Yarrowia lipolytica: one gene and its partner. The protein of the gene in region 2 interacts with the protein of the main gene of each other region in a pairwise test. Links are inferred from orthologs where the notes say so. Each region holds a gene or a part of one and is shown on either strand. Other genes may lie near its edges.

Region 1 (5,377 bases), on a different chromosome or scaffold from region 2:
TTTTTCATTTTCCCCATACCCTTACATCACCAGGACAACCCGGAAACCCCAGGGTATATGTGAAAAGGGTGGGAGAAAGTCGGCCACCCACGTCTTAGCTGCCAAGCAAAAGCGCCCAGAGCCCTTATACGAGAGATTAACATTCTCAATCGTACCAAATGAGTGTTGAATGAGACCAGATAGCAAAACAGTGTGAGATGGGCGAGATATGGAGATGGAGAATAGAAAAAGATGGGAAATCATGAATGGAGAGGGGAAGTTGAGATTCGTGTTTTTGATCCACTGTATGATATATCATGCTCTCCTATACTACGACCATACATTGCCCACCCTACAGTCTGAGTGGCTAATACAACACACTCTAACTGCAAGCTTAGTTTTCTCCCTTCTTTTTTTCACCCAGCCAAAAAGAGTCTGAAAGCGGAACTTGAGAGCGGAAGCAGTTGAGAGCGGGAGTCTGTCTATATCTCAAAGGTGCATTGCATCAGGAAAATGTCTACTGAGTTTCAGACAATGTCCCTCGTTCTATGAATCCATCATGTGATGCTTCTGACGCCCAATCACGCACAAACAATACATGTTACTGTTTTCTAATAACATCTATTACATCAATACAAGTACATGCTTATAATTAACCATGCAGCCGCTCAAACTCCTCAAGATTGGTGTACTTGTCCACCAGAGCAAGCTCGTGGGTCAAAGTCTCGTCTCGGAAGGCCAGACGCACATTGGGCACGTTTGTCTTCTGGATGGTGTTGCCCTCGGGGCCATGGATCTCGTAGTTTTCGCCGATCCAATGCTCCTTGATGATTCGCTCAAAGCCAGATTGCAGTACCGAGTTTCGAGCAAGCTCACACATATCCACGTTGGAAAGCTTGTAAATGAGCGCAGCCACAGAGTACTCCTCAATCAGAGCCTCCTTAGTGTAAGCAAACTGCAGAGGATCATCCGATGACAAGGACACGTTGAGACCCCGCTTGAAGTATGAGTAGAAGGGGTTCTTGTCGAACGTGAGGAACAGCGCATTGTTGGACACGGGAGACATGGCAATGGGGATCTGGTCCAGGTAGTAAAGGTACTGAATGAAGGGCACCTTTCGCAACAGAATACCGTGGTTGATACCCTGAGCAACCAGATAAGTGCACAGAAGATGCTCTGGGTCACCAGCCTCTCCAGCATGGGGTCGCAACTCAAAAGTATTATAGCCCAAACGCTGTCTCCAGGTGTTGATGGAGGCCATGTTGGCGTATAGATAGTACTGCCAGTACGAGTAGGGAGGGTTCTGTGCGCTGTCCCAGTATGCTGCAGTTGGGAACTTTCGGTGGAAACGTCGGTCCAGCTTCGACTCGTCATCGACAGAGTCAAAGCCCACAACTCGCTGCAGGAACACGTGCAGCTTGGGATGGGTACTGGGATCCTTGGTGACCTCGAAAAGAGGCTCAAAGACGTTCTGCACAATGTCGGCAAAGGTGTTAACCAGACCAGCCTTCTTGTAAATGTCGTACAGTCGAGGCACCTGGATCAACCACCGAACATTGGGCGAAAACAGTTTGTTGTCCAGCACCCAGGCAGCCAGCTTGTCCCACTCGTCCTTGGACCGACCGTAGATGGAAATACGGTACTCCGCCATCTGGTACTTCGAGTTCTCGAGATCCTGGAACACCTCCTTTGTGATCTCAGCTAGGTATCGACCCTGGATGTAGTTGTCGGTCTTTAGGAAGATTTCTCGCAGTCGAGACTCACCGACAGGGTTGTACTTGAGGTTGAACTTGTCAAATCGATGGAACGAGTCCTTGTGAGCATGCATATCAAGGGTATCGATAGACAGGTCGTAGGCAGTCAAGTTAAGTGACTCAAACACCTGGGAGAGTGTCAGCTCCCGACCGTCTCGGTGGATGACAACTTCATCAGGGCAGTTCTTCATCTTGTATTTGATGAATCGCAGCAGATGCTTCTGGTTCATGCAGGCAGAGTGGTGAACGTGGGTGTCGACCTTTCGTACGTTGTAAAAGTCTCGATGGGGGTTGGTCTTGGACTCGGTTGTCTCCGTGTACTCGTTGAGCAGGTAGTAGAGGTTCCACTTGGCTTCTAGATATTGCAGTCGTCGGAAAGCAAAAGACTTGGCAGGTCCGTCAGACGAAGCCACAATGAGATCCTCCAGATCCATGTAGTAATCTCGGATTGAGGGGATGGCAACAAACGGCTTATTTTCGTTGAGAGAGCTTTCATCCTCATAGACCTGATAGACACAGGTAGGATCTCGCTTGAAGACCATGTCGTTGGGTCCGGGGATTTCGCAGTCCTCGAATTTGAATTCATCCATTGTCGGGTCTTTCTTTTGGTGCTCCTTTTTGGACGAGCCTCGGAATCGCTTTTCGGTCTCGTGCCAGGAGGGTGGTGGAGGCTCGGGGTAAATTTTCCAGTGCGTCTTGTCATCCTTGGGGTTGTCTCCGTCCTTCTGTAGCGACACGGTTTGGTACTTGTCTCGGAGGTCTCGGCAGTACTGCACCTTTTCGAACATCATGGACAGCTCCTGGGCCACAAGAGGATCTTCTGTGGTGGTGGTGATTTTGACGTCGTTGATGGACATGTTCTTCATGTCGTCCTTGGTGCGGGTGCGTTTGAGAGTAGGAGATATGGGCTTGCAGGTGTCTTTCTGGGTAGCATCATAGACAATGTCGTCTTCCGCAGATAGTCGGGCATCGTCATCGCTCTCGTAGGGCTCTTCTTCGAGCGATCCGGTCATGTTGAGCTGCTGGAGACCCTTGCTCAGCGAAGATCCAGACTTGGTTCTGTTTCTGTTGAACTTGCGTCCAGAAGCTCGAGACGACGATCGAGATCGAGTGGAAGATGCGTCATCGTCCTCTGGCTGTTGGTGGGTGTGGCTGGAGGGTGGGGGAGGGGGGTGGTTCATTTCGGCCCGCACAAATGACGAAGATCTGGACACGGGACTCTGAGAGTGCTGATGAGGCAGATGGCCATGAAGAGCTCTGTACTTGGCATCAACCTCGATGAGGTGGCGTTCTTCCGCGTAAGAGAAGTGGGTGGACGCAGATCGGCCCAGCATTCCCAGTTCTTCAAGCTCGTCTTCGTCGTCTTCGCAGCCCACGTAGCCAGCAATCTCGTCTGCTCCGTGAGGTCGAGGAGAGATGGGACCCACAAAATGCGAGTCCAGGTCGTCTTCTTCGGGCATGGGCACAGACTTGGCCTTGCCCTTGATATCCATTGCTTGCTGCGGCATGGTACAGAGGCAATGTCGTGATGGTGTAGTGTGGAGAGGAGCAAGATCAAACGAATTAGCGGGTCCTTCCAACGGCTCTATCTCCAACATGCACAGCAACGTAAACTTCATCAGGGTTTAAGCGACAGTAGCGAGTGCGATGGGGTACAAGTGCTATATGGCGCAAGTGTTTGTGGATTGAGAGCACTATTTATTTAGGGAGCTTTTTTGTATTCTGTAGATTGATACGTTAGTCACATGCTTGACTGCTTGGTAATGAATACCAGCCCCACAAGTTGTTCAGGGTGGAGCTCAGAGTCTGTCATCAATGCAGCACTGCTCCAGATGATAAGCTTTGGAGAAAATCCGATGGAAGATGGTGATGGAACAATGGGGCGTGTGGCGACGGCGGAGTTGGTATGGATGGGGCAACTATGTTGAAGGTGCATAGTCAGTAGCATTTCCGAGTTGACAAAAGTACAAGTAGCACAGCGAGAAGGAGATACGAGTATGTAGTCTAGTGTACTTCTACTGTAATAGTAAGCTGTCTAGAGACAGTAGCTCGCGTCAAAGTGAAACCCGACCAAGGAGATGCTTCGAAACTACAAACAGGGGTAGTCGGAGAGGAGGAAGGGGGAAAGAGGGGCTAATAACCTGGTGGATTCTGAAAATTGAGATTTTTTATAACGATAATATACCATGCTACATTATTCAGTGCATTCACTGGCTACTACGGACTTCAGAAAAGTGTTTCATACACCTGCATTCTCGCTTAAATCGGACTTGGCTTGAACCTTGACAGGACTAGTTCCTGATCAGTGAGTGGTACTTTCTTGGCACCACCCAGGGCTACTAAGTATAGATACATGCGACAATGTCTTCATTTCCTGTTCATCCCTTTCTGTGTTCAAAAAAATGATCCATAGATTCATCTTGTGGAAGCTATCGAGCAGGACAAGCGGCACGATTAAACTCCTATGATTTGCGTCAATTTAATTTCAGTATCTTCGACAGATGGATGTGGAAGTCGAGGCTATTGTATATGAGTATCAAGCTCTGTAGTCCGGTGAGCGCACTACTACATGTAATTCTTCTAAAACACGTTCTTATTATATTCCACCTAGTTCTGTAACAAGTGGCAACTAGGATCGATACCAAAGGGATGCTTGCAGACAACCTCTTCCAGTATTGGTGATATACCACTCATCAGTCTATCAAACTCATGTCTTATACCAAGAAAAAGAAACCAAATACCTATACTCTGCAGGCCTACAAGTTTACAAATGCAATCTCAATATCGGACTCCATGGTCCTGAATCTATTACAGTAACCCAGAGGTTCGGATTTTCGCATACTCCTCTCAAAACTAGATATACAGGTTTGGATAGCCCCATCCTCCTGTGAGGTTCGACTCCTACTCCTTCAGTGAAGTCTTTGCAGGCCTAAGATCAATTTCTCTGGCTCTTTGCTCTGTCTGTGTGTTCTGGCATTGGCACTTGTTGCTCTTGGACTTACTGGCTCTTTCTCAGATCAATTGCAGCTCCTACAGCCTGGCTCTGACTTATTGCTCTTTTGACCCTGCAACCGTCTGTCGATGCTGATTTTTGCTCTAGCAACTCAGCACTGGTGGCACTGGTCATCTGCTTTGCTCTTCAGTATCTAGGCGGCTCTCTCAAACCGGGACTCCACCTTCGAGTATGAAAAGGAGTATATCAACAGGGATTCTACCCTAGAGTCTCCCGTCGATAATCTGGCGACTTTTTTGTCCATTGCTCATGGAGTGTTTCAACTCATTAACGGTCAACCTCATGGACTTGACCCTGACACTTGGGGCTGTGTCCTTGTCGTGAAAGACTGTGCTTATCAGCTCGGCATTAAAGGCACCTTCCGTCTTCAGAGCGACTCATAGTGAACTGGTCTTGTTCTATGGAAACCCGGGGTCTGGAGAAGATGAATATAGTTCTTGTAAAGTTCGTCACCTTGCAAATAAATGGCACGGCATGCTGGTTCTTGTGTATAGATACGAAACGAAGAGAAGGACTTGGAATGAGGTGGACTAAAATATTACTGTAGATGGAATTGCAAGTTGGAAACGCCGGTTAATAACTTTAGATAACATCGGTCCAAGTAGCTCTGTAAAACCACTTTACGGGCTCT
Region 2 (3,917 bases):
GGCCAACTCCGAGGCCAAGCTGCTGCTCAAGCAATGGGAAGACAAGCTGGCGCTGGGATACAAGAACAAGGAGGCGTTTGAAGCTGTTGTGGAGAACATGGTCGGGTTTGCCCAGAAGCAGAGATTGAAGAAGGGCGGTAAGAAGAAGTGAACAGAGTGCCCCGTGAACGGAGTGAACAGAGGTTGGAATAACGAAAACAACAACTACGACAACGACTACGACAACGACAACGACAACGACAATGACCACGAATCAAATAGACAAATATTTATTGCATACTACACAACTGACGGTTGGAATGTCAGTAGATCTATCCAGGTGCTTGGATTTGCACCAGAAGACCAACAAGTTGGTCAACTGATCGTATGCCTTTAGATATGCTCGTATAGGCACTTGTAGATCCACCAATCTCCCTCAGTTTGTATTCAAAAAGTGCAACCAGTGGGTGCATTTGATTACGTCGCCATCTACGCGTCCAAAACGGTGCAAGGCAGTCGCACCAGTATGTGTGTTTACATATGCAATAAATATCATGTCTAATTAACGGGAACGGCACTGGCGCCAATCTCCTCCACCTTCTTGGGAGCCTCAACCGCAGGCCGAGGAATCACTTCGAGGTAGTTGGCCGGCACGTATCCGCTTCGGCCGTCCCGAGTTCGCACTCGCCACCATTGCGAGGGGTTGCCCATGGGGTCTGTCTTTGCGAGAACCGCCACCAGGTCGCCCTTTCGCAGCTCGAGCTCCAGCTGAGGGTTCTCGGGCACAAAGTCAAAGTTGGCCCGGCAGAACTCCAGCTTGGAAGGGTCGATTTCGGCGCCACCCTCCATACCAGGGCCGCCCATTCCCATCTGGGCACCAGGCAGCAGGTTGCCATGCTCATCGTACATGCCCTCCTGCTTGGCGGCCAGCGCCTTGATCAGCCGACCCAGCAGGTAAGGCAGACCAAAAACGGCCGTCAGGAAGAAGAGCAACGGCTTGTACGAGGGCCGGGGACCTCTTCCGGGACCCGCCGCTCCGCCAGTAGCCTCGAACTTGGCGAAACCGGCAGGAGTGATGCCGTTCGCACCGGTGACAGGCTGGCCAGACAGCTTTGCCACCAGCCGGCGGGCCCACCGCATGATGGCGTAGATGCCGAGCAGCGAGCCGAGGGTGTTTTTCAGGTTGCCAAACTGCTCTGCAACAGAGACCATGGCGAAGAAGGACGACTGGGTCGCCATGTAGGTGGACTCGAGCATCTGCGCGAATCCACCCACGGCTCCAACGATGCTTTCGATCAGCTGGAATGTGGCCTGGGTACCTCCTGCCAGACCGTTCTGACCCATGGGTCCGCCACCCATACCTCCGTATCCTCCGTATCCCCCCATGCCTCCGTACGAGCCGTAGCCTCCATATCGAGAGCCGTACATGCCTCCCATGCCGCCCATTCCTCCGTAAGATCCGTATCCACCGAGTCCCGAGCCGTAGCCGGAGCCATACGACGAACCCATGCCGTATGATGATCCGTAGCCGGAGCCATAAGACGAGCCCATGCCGCCATAGCCCGAGTTCATGCCTCCGTAGCCCGAGTTCATGCTAGAGCCCATAGGCGAGCTCAGGGCGTTGGAGGTAGAGCCCATGGCCGAGGGTCTAGACGGCAGTTCGGGGGCTCCAGTTGCGCTGCCGGCTGAAGACGACACGGCGTCTGTGGAGGCCGGGGTGGCTGTTGCCGCCGGTGTCGCGGTGGCTGCGGAAGAGCCAGAGGCGCCTTCCCATGGTTTTGGTCGTGGCACGCTCATGTTTGCCTTGTGTTGTGTTGTGTTGTGTAGTGTAGTGTTGTGTAGTGTTTTTGAGAGAGAGCTGTGTTTGTGTCGCTTGTGTCGCTGTCGTCGTAGCTGCTGTTTTTGTGTCGCTTGTCTACTGTAACTCGTAGTTTGAAGTGTCCCGTCGTCAGTTATAAAGACTGTGCAAATACAAGGGAGAAAGTTGTGGAGAGATTCGGAGGAGGGTGAACTCAAACGAAAGTGGTAGTTTAGGGTTTATACGTTGGATTTTGACATTGAGAACATTGTAGAACAGATGTCTCCAGAACGAGCTGCAGCGGTCCTAGAGAGAAGCCGGAACCTCTGTTGGGATCACGTGATCTTTATGGGTGATATTTCCGCGTGAAATCCCCCCTTTTCCACCTTCAACGCCTCCAAGAACTCCCTCTTTTCTCTCTACTTTTTCACAAGAGTGGGAAACCTTATTTTCATGCATGTTTTCCCCACGTTTACCTCGGCAAAAATCACGTTGGCGGGGTGCACCGTGTAGGGTAACTAACGGCCGTGCATACACCGAGGCGTTGGTTCGAGGCGCGGTCCAGCACTTTTGGACAGTTGGTGGTTTCTGTGCGAAATCGGGGAACTGGCCAATCAGGGGCGAGTCTTTTTTGCATGTTTCTTTTTCGGAAAATCCGATTTTGCTCTCCAAGCAACCCTAACTTTTTGCCACCAGTTTCAGAAGTTAGCACCGGATTATTTAAAAAAAAATTGAAAAATGGCGAAAAAAAAATGGAAAAAAAAAAACAGAGAAAAAAAAGAAGAAAAAAAAACCGGAAAATCGGAATGAGAGAATGTGAAGACAGTGACGTAGAAGATGGTGAAATACACAAGACGGTGAGGTACAAATTCACCTGAAGTCCCAGTACAAGGGTACACTCGTATTTGCACGTATAGAATTTATTTAATTAATTAATTAATTAATTAATTAATTAGTATGTCGGAGTTCGACTTGTGAATCAATGTACGGGTACAAGTACGAGTACTTGAAGTGATGAATGTCCTAATCTGTACAACCATTCTAGAGACTGTCGCATTCATGGCATCGGGCTCGGATTCTTCCAGCTCCTCCGTGGAGTCAGAAACCGCCATCTCTTCAGCAACATGAGGAGATGAAAGACTACCTGTAGTAATCACTCAAGATCCTGCAAACTGCAAGTTGGATCTAGGAGATTCTCGGCGCAATGTCTTCATCCCAGGCTTAGAGACTGGATCGGTAATCTGGTCTCTACTTGCTCCAAGACGCGTTTACATCCAACTCAAGAGCTAGGACGGAGAGGAATCAAGTTGATACCACTGTTTTGACACTGATATGGTTGCTCTTTTGGTCTTTGGACTCAGAAAACAGGTACTATGACGTCTGTCAACGGTGGAAGGAGAGCCTGGCACCGCATTGAGTTCCATTATCAAGTTCAAGGGTTGGAGCTTGGACGAGGGTCGGACAGGGGTTGGATTCAAATGCGCGAGGCGGTACTGTATGTACTGTACTGGAAGGTGTCAGGTCTCATGTCTCTCGTCTCTTCTACTTGTAGTCTTTCTTCTTCTCATACACGTCTAATACACGTTCCTGTTAATAATCCATTCTATTATAGTCGTAGCAGTTGGAGTCACTTGGGCATCTCGTTCCAATTCACTCAAATCCCCCCAAGTAACGGTCACTGCTTCGCATCTCGCAATGTTGAGCTCGTTAATGACCTCCAGTAGTAGGCAGACCGACCGACAGCTTGAAAGTATCGTAAATGAGCCACTGCATACCGGTCAGGGTACCAATCATGAAGATTCGCACCGGCAGACCGTTCCAAAGACCCTTGAAACCAATTCGCTTGTAGATTCGCTCCACGGTCTGCAGAGTGGACTCGCCGGGCTTCTGCTCACTGTTGACCTTGGAGACCATGACGTCGGCGGGGTGGGAAATGACGGCACACAGAATACCGGCCAGGTAACCTCCGGCAAAGGAGACTCCAATCTGCTGGGCGGTGGAGAAGTCCTTCTTGGGCTTTCCGAGATACTCGTAGATCTTCTCGACAATCTTCTCGAACGAAGCAAACTTGACCATGGTGTAGGGGATCTGTCGGAACCAGAGGGGACCCAGACCCTTCCAGAGACCGCCCAGACCCTCG

Evidence for each region.
Region 1: the proteins of YALI1_C07451g (region 2) and YALI1_E14316g interact in a two-hybrid assay, tested with the Saccharomyces cerevisiae proteins (2 studies listed by BioGRID). The link is inferred for Yarrowia lipolytica from reciprocal best matches to the Saccharomyces cerevisiae genes PEX13 and AMD1.

Annotation. Positions count from the first base shown.
Region 1 is NC_090774.1:1,428,258-1,433,634, forward strand, and holds YALI1_E14316g (uncharacterized protein), read right to left. Parts: upstream 3,353-5,377; coding exon 632-3,352; downstream 1-631. UniProt on the Saccharomyces cerevisiae protein: AMP deaminase plays a critical role in energy metabolism.
Region 2 is NC_090772.1:742,995-746,911, reverse strand, and holds YALI1_C07451g (uncharacterized protein), read right to left. Parts: upstream 1,777-3,917; coding exon 538-1,776; downstream 1-537. Other genes in the region: YALI1_C07481g (uncharacterized protein), read left to right, coding at 1-151; YALI1_C07423g (uncharacterized protein), read right to left, coding at 3,485-3,917. UniProt on the Saccharomyces cerevisiae protein: Component of the PEX13-PEX14 docking complex, a translocon channel that specifically mediates the import of peroxisomal cargo proteins bound to PEX5 or PEX21 receptors.